3 linked regions of the Schizosaccharomyces pombe genome follow. The gene in region 2 interacts genetically with the main gene of each other region. Each region holds a gene or a part of one and is shown on either strand. Other genes may lie near its edges.

Region 1 (5,735 bases), on a different chromosome or scaffold from region 2:
AGGAACATTACTGTATTGAATACCGCCAGAAACTCCGTAACGGCGAAAGTTATCATTTTCGTCGGATTGTTTAGAAGGAGAAAATACCTTATTTATGTCACGCGTATCTTTCAACCCCGTTTCTTTCAATAATTCTTGCAACAAAGCAACTTCAGAAGGATCTCGTACAAATCCAGCATCAAACCAATTGCGAACTAGACGAACAAATTTAGCGCTTGATTGAAAATCTGCTTGCTTGTATAAGGAATCTTGCTGCCGCACACATATGTATCTTGTCTTTATTTTTGGAAGAGTCCTTTTCAGTCCCCAATCACCACGAGCTCTACTATTTTTTTTTGAAGTTATGGATTGCAATCGAGGAAACCGAAGGTGTGATGTTGAATAATTGGATTCTGGAAGACATTTTGGAGAAGCCATTGCCCTCGAGCCACGGAGAATTTGTGCAAAACTCATATTTTTACAAAAATTCAAGATTTATATTGGGACTTGGCTTCTATGAGGAGAACGGTGGCTGTACGGTAGTAAGCACTGAGCGCTGTCAGTATCTAACATTGACTCCGGTAAGTTAGGGTAGGGTTTAAATGTAAAATCAAAAAGCACAACGCAATATTAGTAGTACTAACTAATAATTTAGTCTAATATAAACAAAATAAAAAAAATAAATTCAATTATTAACAAGAAGGTATTAAAGTTCGCAAAGCGTGATATGAATCAATCTCTGGTCCATCAGCATATATATCTAAATTTACATGTTGACACAGTAGCATTTTCAATAAGATTAAAGCGCCAACTGAAAGAAATATGTTAGTAGAAGTAATGTGAATAATCTATTTAAGTTTGCAAGCAATCCCTTTTCATTTGATCATAAAAAAAATGAGAGTGTTATCTTACAAACTACTAAGCGACCAATCTATACGGGATTGCTTCACCGTCCAACAAAAAATGCAAAGTATATCTATACTTACCCTTGTCAAGTACTTCTCCAGAGCAAACTCCGCCTTCAAATTTTGAACTCGTAATACATCCGGGACAACCTTCACGAACTTTGCAATCGCAACTCTCAATTCGCTCAATGGCCATTGTAATTAATTCATCAGTATGTTCATATGCCTTGTTGCATAAACCAGCACCAGATGAATCACCACAATTATCATAGAAAATGAGTCGGGAAGGACGTCTTCGCTCGCTTTTAGCCTCTTTATACTCCTTTTCACCCGCTTTACATTCTGTTCGAATATCGTTACCGCTGTTACTAATAAAAATTGGCATCAACGAAAGTAAAGCATGTTGGGCAGCATGTATACTAGCGGCTCCATTTATTTTTTTTAATGACAAAACCTCAATGATATGCCAAGGTACATCTATCCAGAAACCTCGACTATCAATTTCAACAGGATGATCGGTAATATCTACCACGTCCAGAATATCTTTCTGCTTGTTAACTTTGAAATACCCAAATACATGTAATGTTGCTTTAACAGCCCCAAAATAAATGTTTGTACTTCCATGCATAGTCTTCTTCATTAAGCTGCGAACAGGATCAACATCTGTGAAATCTCTTTGCAATGTTGACCATTCAACATCAACTTGATGAGCAGTAATAATTCTCTTGTTAATATTTAGGAGCCTAATGATAAACGTTTTTCCTTGATAAACATAAACTGCACCTTCGTAAGCAGTTAATGCAACACGAAAAGGTTCGAGGAGTTCTAGAATAACATTCTTATCATTTGTGACATCGACGAGAGTAAACATGTCTTCACTAACGCTTCGTATCCGTACCTGCGAGGCAGGAAAAGGAAGATATTTTGGATGAGGCCGATAACTCTCTTCAACCATTTCTAAATTTGCTTCGCAAATGTCTTGAATTTGATTTCCAAAAAACTTTTCGTCGCTCCTTATGTTAATGGGAAGCTCATATGCAGCACACTGAAGATGACTCGCTAGTAATACCTCATTTGTCAAGTCTAAAGTGAGTTCAGCATTTGGTTGAGTGTGAATCAAAATAGGATGCTTTAAATAAAACTGATCAACGGGAAATGTCTCAACTATATATACTGCTAAGGAAGACTTATTCCTTCTACCAGCACGACCAAATTGCTGGCGCAAGTTAGACAAAGAATATGGAAATCCTATGGTTATAACGGCATCCAGTGATCCTATATCAATACCTAGCTCTAAAGCATTCGTCGCAATAATCCCATATAATTTCCCGTTAAACATTTCACTCTCTATCTTCCTGCGTTCCTGAACCGTATACCCAGCCCTATACGATTGAATCTTAGATAAAAGATCTCCTTTTTGTTTGGTTTTTAATTCCTGCCTCACTAGTCTCATTAACGACTCACAGGTTTTTCGAACACGACAGAAAACAATTGTACGCACCCGCTTTTCGGCAAATTTAATAAGCAGTTTCGAGGCTTCAGAGATTGCGCTTTTCTTTCCATCATCAGGATGCTTGGGGTCGACATAAGGTGGATTCCACATTACAAATTTTTTTGAACCAGAAGGAGAAGAAGTATAGTTAATTAGTTTTATATTATCTACTCCAAAAATTTTTTTCATATGTTGTAAAGGATCCTCAATAGTAGCCGAGCATGATACAAATCGATATTGACTATTTCCAAAGTACTCAGCAATACGGCGCATCCTTCTTAGAACAAAAGCAACGTGAACGCCAAATATTCCATTGTACACATGAGCTTCATCCAGGACGAAAAGTTTCAGGTTTTTAAAGAAATAATACCAACGATTAGCATTGGGAAGAATCGTTTGATGTAACATATCCGGATTCGTAAAGATTATATTTGCAGATCTAATAATACTTTCTCTAGACTCAAGTGGTGTATCCCCATCGAAGGTGTCCACTCGAATATTCTTAAGCGTCGGCATATAGCTAAGTATATCGATTAACGACTTCTTCTGATCTTGGGCTAAAGATTTAGTAGGGAATACAAAAAATGCCGTAGATTGATTATCTTCTAACAAACTTTGTAAAATTGGAATTTGGTAAATCAAAGACTTTCCACTAGATGTAGAAGTTGACACTATAACATGAAATCCGTTCCAAAGGTGGTTGATAGCGTCTGCCTGATGTTTGTATGTCTTTTCGATGTTTCTAGATGTATAAAGAGCATTTATAAGCTCTTGAGACAAAGGTCGAGACAACGCTCCATATTGTGCTTCAACAGCAGGATAAGTATGTAAAGCTTCTTGGACTATTTGCCCTTCGTAAGAAGATTCAGAAGCTATTTCATTTAAAAGTTCTTCAATTGAGCACGCTTTAGTATTTAAATTGCAGTTTTCTATTGAATCATTAGGAATACTCGGTGAATCAGGAGGAACCGGCTGGTTTTTCCGGGATTGAGTTAATAGCTGTTGCGTTGGGTCAAGTTCTGTCAATTGACATTTTTTTATATATTCTTTAATCCCTTGAAGGAACTTTTGGTTTCGTAACTCTATGGCTTTCTTCAAATTATTAAAATCCAGCTTTTGCCTCTGGATATTAGCCTTCATTGTTGGGCCTTCACGTCTCCTTCGTTTGGAACTTCTCTCTTGCGTTTCTAAAAGCTCAATAACCAAAACATATTCAGAACTCTGTGAGACCGTTGAACCAGTGTACAACTCAGGGTTTAGATCAGTGTAAACATTTTTATTGATTTCTAATGCAAGGCTAGCAAGTGATTTATAATTTAATTCAATTATTTGAGGACATATTTCTCTTAGCTGAGATAAATCGCCGATTGTCAACTCCTTTTTCAAACTTTGCTTAACACTCGAATTGAGAAGGGGAAAAGTGATTGTAAGAGAATTTCTCAAATAAAGAAAAGTGTATGTAGTATTAATTACCTTGAATAAATTAAAAAGATTGTCAAATATGGATGGAATAGGCTGATTAGCTTGAATAGTTCCAAGTTGTGGTTTTTTTTTGGGATTATCTGCTTTCAGAGGGAGCTTCCCTTCATTAATATATTTTTTAAATTCAAATTTATCATCCTGATCATTAGATTCTTCCTTTTTAATAGGAGTTTGAGACATTACCCCTTCACCATTAAAGTATGGGCTAAGTGCAAAGGTATTGAAATACAATGATTTCCATTATAACGTGGTAAATGAACAATTAGTGAAGGATCACTTATATAATTATTTAGTATCAGTTTTTAAATTTTTAATTTCTTCATCCTCTTTTAACTCTATAGGTAGCTTATAAAACTTTGTTCCCTTGATAGAATCGGGTAAATACTGAGTAGGTTAACAAATTGAAAAGAATATTTTTTATTACCTCTTGCATTACTAATCCGTCTTTATAATCCGGATTGTATTTATATCCTTTATGGTATCCTAATTGCTTCATCAAATTTGTAGGAGCATTTCGAATATGCATGGGAATTTCAGCCCTGCCAGCATCGGGATGAGAAGACAAAAAACTTTTTACAGCATTATATGATCTGTAAACGTCAACTGATTTTGGAGCTAATGCTAAGGCGACGGCGCAATGAGCTAGAATTACATCGGCTTCAGGCATGCCAACTTGTTGAACAGCAGTAAATGTACTGGATGCTAGAGGTAGCATAGAATTATCTGCTATTCCAATGTCTTCGCTTGCTATTCTAACCATTCTTCGTGCCACATACAGTGGATCTTCTCCAGACTCGAGCATTCTACCCAGATAGTATAAAGTTGCATCGACATCAGAACCCCTTACTGATTTATGGAAGGCAGAAATTGTATCATAATGAACATCACCTACTCTGTCGTAAAGTGCAGAAGATCTGACTAGCTTGTCCTTAATATCTTCGAGTGACAGGGGTCCTTGTCTTAGCATTCCAATAGACATTTCTAAAGCATTTAAGGCCATTCTAGCATCTCCGTCTGTAATAGCAGATATGTAATCAATAATAGATGTTTCAACGTTGGGCATAGAAGATCCTAGTCGCTCACTTTCCAGTAAGCAAGCATGGTTTAATATTTTCTTAACATTATCACGCGTTAGTTTCTTAAGCACAAAAACGGGGCATCTGCTAATGAGAGCAGAATTTAGTCGGAAAGAAGGATTTCTACAATGTTAATCATGGTGGAAAACATTAGTGTTTAAACATACTCAGTTGTTGCGCCGATCCTAATTCAAAGGTTAGCATTTGTGATATTAGAATGCATCACTTACAGAGTAACTAGACCCTTTTCAACCATTGGCACTAGTCATGGTTAATTGAAGAGATAAAAAAATATCAAACTTACAAAATATATCCTGTTGCGCACGGTTGAAACGATGTACTTCGTCCAAGAAAATAATAGTCTTTCTTCCTGTCAAGGTGAGATAATTTTGTGAGTCTTCAAAGATTTTACGACAATCAGCAACAGTCGTCGAAGTCGCAGAAATTTCTATGAACCTTGATTTTGTTGTAACGGCAATTAGTCTAGCAAGCGTAGTCTTTCCAGTTCCAGCACTACCCCATAAAATCATGGAATTGCACCTATCTTGTTCAATCAGATTACGAATGATGCCTCGCTCACCAACCAGCTCTTCCTGACCAACATATTCATCTAGTGATTTGGGTCTTGCTCGTTCCGCCAGTGGTCGTGTATCCCGTCTTGTAAGTTTAGTTTTCTTTGTAGGGCTGGGTTCAGGCTCTATAAATTTTGTAGCGCTCTGGTGAGATGAGACATTTGTTTCTAAATGATGTTTATAGCGTTCCTTTTTAAAAAAGGGTGAAACAGGTTTCGAAGGGCCTGAT
Region 2 (6,657 bases):
AGAAACATATGAATTTTGTCACCCTCAACGTGGATTCAGGTTTATTGTGGAACAAGTTAGTCACCATCCTCCTGTTGGAGCTGCTTATTCGGAATCCGCGAACTGGAAATATTACGGAGAATCAAGTGTTAAGTCGAAATTCTATGGTAAAAGTTTTGATATCTCACCCCTTGGTACATGGTTTTTGGAATTAAGACATCCTTCTGGGGAAGTTGAATTGTATACTTGGAAAAAGGTCACCTCATCTGTCGTAGGGATTATTCTTGGAAGCCCATCGGTGGATAACTATGGCCAAATGCATATTGTAAACCACAGCAGTGGAATCAATTGTGTCCTTGATTTCAAACCTCGTGGATGGAGAGGTACAAATGCCCATGAAGTTAAAGGAAGTGTACAATCGACGGATGATACTCCTAAATGGATGGTTAACGGACACTGGAATGATAAAATTTTTGGTCAGCAGCCAAATGGAAATAAGATTCTGCTATGGCAAAATCATGAAAGACCGCCTCGTCCTTTCAATTTAACCCCTTTCGCAATTTCACTTAATGCGCTCACTCCACAGTTAAAACCCTGGCTTCCTCCCACTGATACGCGTTTGCGACCTGACCAAAGAGCAATGGAAAATGGACAATATGACTTAGCAGCATCTGAGAAAAACCGCCTTGAAGAAAAGCAGAGGAAAAAACGCCGTATGCGTGAGCAAGGCGAAATGCCACCATGGTCTCCAAGGTGGTTTTCGGCGGCTAAGCATCCCGTTACTGGTGAAGACTATTGGCAGTTTAACAACGAATATTGGAAAATAAGAGAGGAAGCTGGTGAAGCTCATTTGGCCGGAAAGGAATTTGAATGGCCTAATGTTGATGATATTTTTTGAGATCTCACGAAATTATTAATCATTTTGTTTTGCAAAAAGGCAAGGAATGGCAATCCAACTATTTGACACACTATGACCAACAACACTGAGTAAAGTTTATTTAGTTTTATTTAGTCTTGATACACTACTACAAGTAGACAGTATTATAGATATTAATAATGAAAAAATTAGCTACATAACTTCATGATACATTAAATGCTACAATGTTCTTACAAAGAATACGTATACGCACGAAGTGTATTGAACACATAAGTACAAAGGAGAAATTTAGTAAATGAAATTTTAAGCAGCAGTAATAGCTTTGCGAGCAGCCAAGTTTCTGGCCTTGGCACCTTGCTTCAAGGAAACACGGGAAACGGTGTCGTTAGCCTTGGGGACTGCTTCCTCCTCTTCGGCAACAATGATTTCAATGTGAGAAGGGCTGGAAAGGTAAGCAGTGACACGACCGTGAGCACGATAAGTACGTCTGCGTTGCTTAGGGGCAGCATTGACTTGGACATGCTTAATGATGAGTTTGTCCATGTCTAACCCCTTAGCCTCAGCATTAGCCTCGGCATTCTTCAAAAGGTCGTAGAAGAATTTAACAGACTTGACGGGCCAGCGAGCTTGGGTGACGCCAAACTCCTTACCTTGAGCAGTACGGCCAACACCGCCGTTGAAGCGACGGAAAGGAACGGCTTGCTTGTGTTCCTTGACGTTGTCAAGGAAGATGAAGGCCTTCTTCAAACTCATGCCATTAATGGTAAAGGCAACTTCACGAGAGTTCTTGAAATGGGTTCTCAAGTAAGCTCCGCGAGCTTTGGCGCACTTTGTCTCAAGAGCAGGGGAAGCTGAATAGCGGACCATTGCTACTTTTGTTGTGGTAAAAGGCTAGTGCTCTTCTCTAGGAATTTACTATTCTCGTTTCTAGTGTGAACAATTGTGACTGGTTTGGACACTTAGGGTAGGGTTACAAAAACATGCTAATTGACCTACCCAAAAATGTTTTGGAACCTTCAACATCGGTATATTGTTTAGTGAATATGTAGCCACTTCCTTAGGTTTCAGTAGATTCTTCCCATTTTTTGTGTATTTTTCTTGCTCCTTCACCGATCACCGACTTTGTCTACAGATTTCTTTTCTTTTCTCCTCACTCGTTGTTTCATTTGCCTTGGCATTTCAAGTTGTGGCATTTCTCCAGCGACGGACTATCAATTAAGGAGAAGCGATCATACATATGAGCGCCATAGATTCATGTGAGCATACAGTGTCTTGGAAGTTGTGTGAACAAAAATACAATGAAGCTACTACACTTCTTTCCAAGTTAAAAAAGCTACTCGGAAACTTTAAAGAAAATTGTACAAGCGTTGTAGTGGATGGCCACAAAAAGCCACGCTCCGAATCAAGAAAGAAATATGATGCTAAGAAACAGCATCAATCGAGTCATTTTGCAACACCTGTAAAGGGTGTTGAGTCCTCCGAACCCACTGAAAAGAAAAAAAGGAATAAAGAGGCTCTTTGGTTGAGGGCCAGGCAGAAAAAATGGAAAGAAATCTTCGAGTTATGTCAAAAAATAACTTCCCTTCTTGGTGGAACTATTTTGATTGATGTTTCCTTTTCTATGGAAAAAGATGTTTTGACGTATTTGTGGATGCGGGTGCATTACCAAGTTATCTCCTTTTTTAAGCATCGTATCTATGAAGCATCTACCCAACATGACCCGGAGCTTTTAAGCTCACTTGTTACTATGCATATTCAGTATTTGAACTCAACCATACAGTTTTACACTACTTTGATTGCTATAATTGGTGAATTATATCATTTACAATGTCTCAGTCCATTAACTTCTTTCTTTACATCTTGTGTAACTCCTAAAACGATTTTAGAGTCCCCTCTGCGAAAGCAAGGTTCTCATAATTGGAAAACAAGTACCAATTCGCAATCAAGGCTTGCTGCTCTTTTTTCCTCCATATTTGAAGATTCTTGTTTGGAAGTTGACTCTGTGAAAAGATTACTTTCAGGCTCTCCATCATCCTCTTCTTCTCCATTAAAGAAAGACTCTTCTTCTAATTCACTCACTTACGAACCTGCATTAACTGATCATAAACCACAGTATTTGGTTCTTTGTGTGTATAGGTCTTTGATTTACATTGGCGATGTCCACCGTTACTTGGCTGAGGTTCGTTCTCCAAACGTACCTGATTATCAAGTTTCCCGTAGATACTATGTTATGGCTGCTAACGTAGCACCCGATTATGGTGTTCATTTTCACCAACTTGGGCTAATCGAAGTTGCCGATGCTCGATCTTCATCCAGAAAGTCGTCCTCTGGCCAGAGCAGTTCCCTGAAGGGTAACGTTAATGTAGAGGATAAACGTCTCATTCAAGCTTTACCTGCTATTTCTTTTTTCTTTTTGTCATCCATATCCCCTAACAATGTTGCGGCCTCATCGGCTAAGACTAGTTTATTTATTGCTTTGAAGCGTTGCTTCGGCAAAACTAATGATGGTTCGAATCCCTGTTTATATCATAAGGAATCCTCTGCCATTTCCCTGTTTTTGCGTCTGTATGCAATTGCTTTTAGTAATACTGATGCCGACTACATACAAGACTCTGGTCCTTTATTCAAACGAGTTCGATTTCTTCTTTCTGAGTCACTTAAAAGCGGCTTGTTTTCAGAATCCTCTTTATTACAGATGACATATTGTGCATTGGCTGCAAGGGTTTTAGCTCCATTTATTGGCTTTAGTGATTCTGGAGAACACGGTGAGTCGTATCCGAATTTAAAGCTTGCTACACAAACTACAACTATGTTTTTTGAAGTCCTTTCTGATTCAGTGAATAGCCAGCTTCCTTTACAAGCTCTTACCTCTGGTGTGTCGAGTAAGAAGGACGGTAATTTTGATGATCTAGTCGAACGTCGTCAATATGGATCTCTGTCTTCAAATGCTGTACTTATGCCAATGCTTCTACCTTTGTGTGTTTTGACTTCTTCGTGTTTGCAAAATGGGGACGTCTGGCTTACTAAAGATATTCGAACTGGACTTTCACAGATATTCAATCGTTTAAGCTTCTTTTTGGAGAACACAAATCAAACAGCTCCCGACGACTCTGTTCTTGTACGCTGTTCTTCTAAAAGTATCGGCCTGCTATTCTTTTTCCCTCTTGTTAAGGTTTGTGGAGTTCCTCGTGATACTTTACAGTGGCTTTACTTTTCAAATCATTATCCTTTTAATGAGGAAGGTAAAGGTCCCCAAGTTGATGATTCTGACGCACTGATAACAATTGCGTTAGATTCTTTGTATGTGTTACTGAATATGCGAGCGAAAAGTACACCAAATAGCACATCTTTTTCTTCGCCTCCAACACCCCACAGATCTCCATTTAGCGGACAGGCTTTTACTGGAATGGGATTATCGAATTATTCACTAATGTCCTCATCTTCTTTTCCATCTGCTCAATCTTCTCCTACATCTCCTTTTTTATCTGGAACACCATCCATAGCTAATCAGTCATCTAGTATTGCAAGTCTGCAATTTGGGAGGATGGTGGATAGCCTCGTTGGACCTGTTCAACCTATACCTGCTCAAACTACCGGGTGCTCTGTTCATTCATTACAACAACGCACGTTTTCAAATGAGAGTCCTAGAGCTGTCGATTCTGGTTTTAGTAGGACTAGCACACCATTTAGTGAAAGTACTAGTTCTTATCCTTTAGTGTCTGGGAATCTCAGTTCTTGTGAGACACACTTGAACGGATCTCCGCAAAACGGACATTTACAAGGTGAACGTGTTTTATTCCGCCCATTGAGAAGCCCTGCTTTAAACACATTTTCTACGCCTGCTACGGAACCTCCGGAACATTTGGTTTTGTCTGAGCTATTAAAGAAAATGGTTAACATCAGCAATAATTAAACTGTATTGTTGATTGTAATGTTTCATTAAAAATTCTGAAGTTTGTTAGAAGCAGTCAATTAACTTTGCTGCCAACAACGAACAAATTTCTTGCTTTATTTCTCACGAAGTGAAATAACCCAAAATAATGTATCACGGATTTCTTTGTTTATACACTGTGCTTACGAATTAGAAATGGTTCTTCACTTGCCTAAAGAAAGGCTTTGACTTTTATATAAGTATGAATAGTCATCAAATGGCCTAAAGTGTACGGGTATTCACGACACTTAAATTAAAATATGGTCGATGGGAAAATAAAACGTTGTTTAGTTATCATAGCGCTGTTCTGGTTTGACCTAAACACAAGCAATTAAGGCGCTTCCCAATGTTACAATATATATCATAGAATGGGTTAATTGTTTACATAGGACTGCGTTGAATTCTTTAAATAGAATCTTTAGCCTCGAATTATGAAGTTATCTGACTTGTTGGATATCCTCAGCTTGCCAATTGATTGATAATAAGCATATGAGCTTGGACAGTGAATATTCAATATTTGGTTACTCAGTGCAATTTGTTTTGTGATTCTAAGCAGAAATGCTCTTTATAAACATTTACTGCACTATCTTGAGTTTCTAGAGCTTGTTCTGTATCCAAATTGTAATGACTGGCGATTCTCAAGTGCCAGATCTTATACCTCTTTTTATGTCTTTACCAGACGTTATCGTAATGCCTGGACACAAAACTAAAGTGTAAATTTGTCTTTCCTATGAAATGCTTGGTTTTTCATTAAAGTGTTACGAATTCGAAACATATATCTATGATTTTTGAGTATACACTGGCGGTATCTGTTGTTTAAGATAATTTAGTTTTGAGTTATTCGAGGCAATCAATTTCTTATCAAGTGTGATTCTCTTTTTAGAAAACCAAACTAAAAGTAAATCTATTGATCTTTTCAAGTATTAAGACAACTTGTTTTCTTTTGGATAAAATGCTTTTATTGTTGCATAATAGATTGATAAAGGTACGAAATGTATAAATGCATTATTTTATGTTGAGTACTTTACTCTTTCAGGATTGTGTTTGAGCTAAGCTTCTTGCATCTCTCATTCATCATCACACATCTATATTGAAAGGAAAGAAGGTAAAAAACGAACAAGAACAAAGTGAATACAAAAGAACGAATTGGATTAGTATTGTTATTGCATGAAAGTGATCTTATGACATGCATCACTATCCTATCCAAATAGTTTGTAGAGCCAGTTAGTAATAATACTTTCCAATAATTTGAATATGTGTGGCATGCCATTTGGCACGATTTTGAGAAATACAAAAATAAAATCATCTTGTAAAAGAAGAGCAATTAGCTGCTTTTTTATGTACCAGCTGAAGGAAAAACATTTGTTTTTCGACGTATAAAAAAAAACAGAAAGACATCAGCTTAAAGCTTTAAAGCTAACTTGTTTAAATAAGTTTGTAAGTTACAAGTACAATACTTTCTATTACACTTGGCACTCAAAATCGTGTGGCATATGATTATAACGATGCCTCGGATTTCCTTACTTGGCACTAGGTAATACGGTACACTAACCATGACAATACACTAGACAAACGCGAGCAATCTTCCAGCCCTAGTACCTAAGATCCATTGCAAAATTGTTTTGGTTGCGAGACTTACCTGTTTTATCCATAACCATTTGTTAAAACCTTCCTTTGAAGATTTGAGAAACAGGTATCATTTGTGGACATTGGTCTTTACAATTTCCTTGTTTCGTGATTATAAATATTTTTTCCCGGATTTGTGTTATTTACTATAATTTATTGGTAAATTATAACACAAGTGCTCATCTGCTTATAAAGCAAAAGGATTTTCACGAAAATTCCCTAGAAAGTAACCTGTTGTATTTTT
Region 3 (3,197 bases), on a different chromosome or scaffold from region 2:
AATAGGGAAGGAAGCCATTAATCCACTAATAAAAATAAGTGAAAAAAGATTGTTTTTCATGTGCATTGCGGATAATTGCTTGAAATCCGCAAATTATTATCAGTATACTAAAAACCCGCATTGCTTTTTGAATATTATCCTTTTGCTCCTTCATAAAAATGTCAGACGCAATGCGGATCATTCAATTCTTTAAGTATTTCATTTACGACTTGAATGTCATCAGCGACGATATTTTAATCGTAGAAAATAAAACGCCGTTTAATTCTTGGCTAAAAATATATTCGACAGCTTCAAATCCTCTCAAAATAATAACCAAATATTTACCTCTAAACCTCGTTTAAAAAAGATCAATAGGGATAGCTACTTGGGCTAAAACAGTTGCGAAGAAATTTGAACGTCCAAAAATATTGTGCTCTTTCCCTAGGTGAAATGCATTCTTTCCAAAAAAAAAATTAATGATTTCAATAGGAAACTGAAATGAATAAATAAAATCGTAATTTGGTTAAACTTTTTGATGTTAATTTACAGCCTATGCGGTTAAAAACCAAGCATGTTGAAGCGCATCCTGGCCGGTCGTCCTTAATTCAGGTTGTAGACGAAGCATCCGTCGTAACAAATCCAAACCAAGAGGATCAAATGTTGGAAATAGGTAGGCGAGATCTTGTGCTTTATAAATAGGGAAAGTAGGCTTATATTCAGGAAGTAAAGAAATTCCGGGCCATGATTGTTCAGTAGGAGTTCCCAATAATCGGAAGATTTTTAGTAGCTGATCCTCATTATTTGACCCAGCAAATAGAGGACGTCCTGTAGCCATTTCTGCCATGATACAACCAACTGACCAAATATCAATGGAAGTTGAATATACTCGAGAACCCAAAAGAACGTCAGGAGCACGATACCATAAGGTGACCACTTCGTTTGAAAAAGTATTCACTGGAATTCCAATTGAACGGGCTAACCCAAAATCCGCCAATTTCAATTCACCACGACTGTTGATAAGCAAATTTTGAGGTTTCAGATCACGATGTAGAACTCGGTTTTCGTGACAAAAAGATATCCCTTTGAGTAATTGTTGAGTAAAATTTTTTACTTGAGAAGGTGGAAGAGCTCCTTGGTTCCCATAAGTGTCCATGTACTTTTTCAAATCTTTTTCCATATATTCAAAAACGAGCATAAGCTTATTTTCGGTTTGCAAAACGTCTGAGAGAGACATAATATTGGGATGCCTAAGCTCCTTCATAAGACTAATCTCACGGATAGCAGTACTAGGTGTTCCTTCATCTGCATCAATACGAATAACTTTGAGAGCGACAATTTCACCAGTCACTCGATTTTGCCCCTTATAAACATGCGCATATGTTCCCTCTCCTACTTAAGTTAATGAAATTGCAAATTTTGGGACCTCAAACTCATACTTACCTAACTTTTCAAGCCTTTGGTAGTTCATGTTGTGCGATGGAAATATCAAGTGCCTCCTCTACGATGACTAACGACTTAAGGTGATGTTAAGCTAACAAAACTGTTTTTAAGACCTACAGTTTTGAAGAATATGCTAAGAAAAAAAATTTTTAGTCTATTGAGTCATGTCGAACATCTTGCTATAATGTAAACTATTGTAATTAAGATCACTACAGCTTCTATCACAAATTAACCTAATGATAATTAATCAGAAGGTTGCCATCTGTAGAAAACACATAAGTATTAATAAACCCTTACATAAAGGAGAGTTTAAGCAATTGCATGTTTTTGGATATAAATTTCCATCTTTGCTTAAAATCTATCATAAGCAGTATGAGAAAATGCCGTAATTTTGCATAATTTTAAAAATGAATTAATGATTTAATAAAAGAATTGAAGCTAAACTATATCACTGCAATTCAAAAACAATTGGTTTACTTTATCTTGTTGATGAAACACATTTTAGAACATTATCACCAACAAAAAATGATACAAGATAGCTTAAGTTTATATATTTCAATGATTCATTTCTTCATTAAAACATCATATTTCTGCAGTGTGGGTTTGGCCAGTGATATCAATCAACTAAACATGATTCTAAACGAAGCAATAAAACAATTTAATAAAGCATTAGCTTCTTACACATTGTTTACAAGACTAACCTTTATACGCTAGTCTAAAATAAAAAACAGACAACAAATGCAAAGAGGATTTGAGGAACAAGTTCTCTCCTAATCTACTAACATGTGTTAAAACTGGTCATCAAGCATTCCACGGAAGTGACTGAAAGCATTTTGAAAGTCATTATCTAAAGCGTTTATGCAAAGAATCTCACGAACAACAAAAGAGAACTGCAACCTTTCCCTTGAAAGACCTTAAAGAAACAAGTAATGAATCCGAAGCATGTAGCAATTAAGCATTCTAAAGGCCACCTGCTTAAATTGAACTGCCTATTGAGGGAAAACCTTCAAAGAGGATCTCTCAAGATTGGCTGATGCTTCATCATCCACAAACCAGCTTGTACGAGTCAAATTGTTTCGAGTGATCAGCGCACTTGGAAGTTTAGATGTAAAATCCTCAATGACAATAGGCAAAATATCCTTCTTACCAGCACCTGTGGTAACAAAGGCAATGGCTTGAGCATGTGTGACAACCGGTAAAGTCAAAGTGATGCGGTCTTTAGGGGGTTTGGGCGAATCAGTGACTGGGGCCACCCAAGCAACGTCTTCCTGGAGTACCTCGTGATCGGGGAATAGAGAACATGTATGGCCATCAGGACCGCATCCTAACAGCAGTAAATCAAACACAGGGACCTTAACAGTGGAGCTATTTGCAAACACATGCACTAATTGTTTTTCATATTCATCAGCAACATTCTGAGGGTCAATAGGATTTTCTTTCAAAAGCTCAGGATTGATGGTATGAATTTTTTTAGGGTCAAATCCTTCAAACTTGTCAAAAATCAACTTTTTACAGAGCGCATAATTTGAGTTTTCATCATCTAAAGGAACAATTCTTTCATCAGCAAAGAAAACTTCCCTAAATAGAGCTGTTAATCATAAATTGCCTTAAGACAGAGTGTTTCACGTCAACCAAAGCTAAACAAAACCACAGTGAATCCATACAACTCAAAAGTATATAATATCTGTTAACTTACCATTTGGAAAACTCGATACCTCTCTGTTGAGCCAATCCTTCAGCCAAAACCTTTGGTAAACTTCCTCCACTAAGAGCTAAAG

The links. A genetic interaction does not mean that the proteins touch.
Region 1: mutations in ebs1 (region 2) and hrq1 together harm fitness more than expected from each alone (negative genetic interaction), as found in Schizosaccharomyces pombe (2 studies listed by BioGRID).
Region 3: mutations in ebs1 (region 2) and pef1 together harm fitness more than expected from each alone (negative genetic interaction), as found in Schizosaccharomyces pombe (2 studies listed by BioGRID).

What each region holds. Positions count from the first base shown.
Region 1 is NC_003424.3:4,113,144-4,118,878, forward strand, and holds hrq1 (RecQ type DNA helicase Hrq1), read right to left. Parts: upstream 4,072-5,735; 5' UTR 4,039-4,071; coding exon 966-4,038; exon of another isoform or gene 791-965; coding exon 672-790; 3' UTR 530-671; downstream 1-529. Other genes in the region: mrp51 (mitochondrial 37S ribosomal protein bS1m), read right to left, coding at 1-453; mgs1 (DNA replication ATPase), read right to left, coding at 4,144-4,242, 4,283-5,057, 5,102-5,119, 5,165-5,195, 5,239-5,735. UniProt on the Schizosaccharomyces pombe protein: Helicase with 3'-5' helicase activity involved in genome stability. Functions in the nucleotide excision repair (NER) pathway and plays a critical role in DNA interstrand cross-link repair.
Region 2 is NC_003423.3:1,732,261-1,738,917, forward strand, and holds ebs1 (EST1 family protein), read left to right. Parts: upstream 1-1,964; 5' UTR 1,965-2,093; coding exon 2,094-4,769; 3' UTR 4,770-6,102; downstream 6,103-6,657. Other genes in the region: sterol transfer protein Osh2, read left to right, coding at 1-877; rpl1701 (60S ribosomal protein L17), read right to left, coding at 1,160-1,723.
Region 3 is NC_003421.2:686,004-689,200, reverse strand, and holds pef1 (cyclin-dependent protein kinase Pho85/PhoA-like Pef1), read right to left. Parts: upstream 1,467-3,197; 5' UTR 1,448-1,466; coding exon 1,420-1,447; exon of another isoform or gene 1,369-1,419; coding exon 530-1,368; downstream 1-529. Other genes in the region: pgl1 (6-phosphogluconolactonase), read right to left, coding at 2,409-2,997, 3,116-3,197.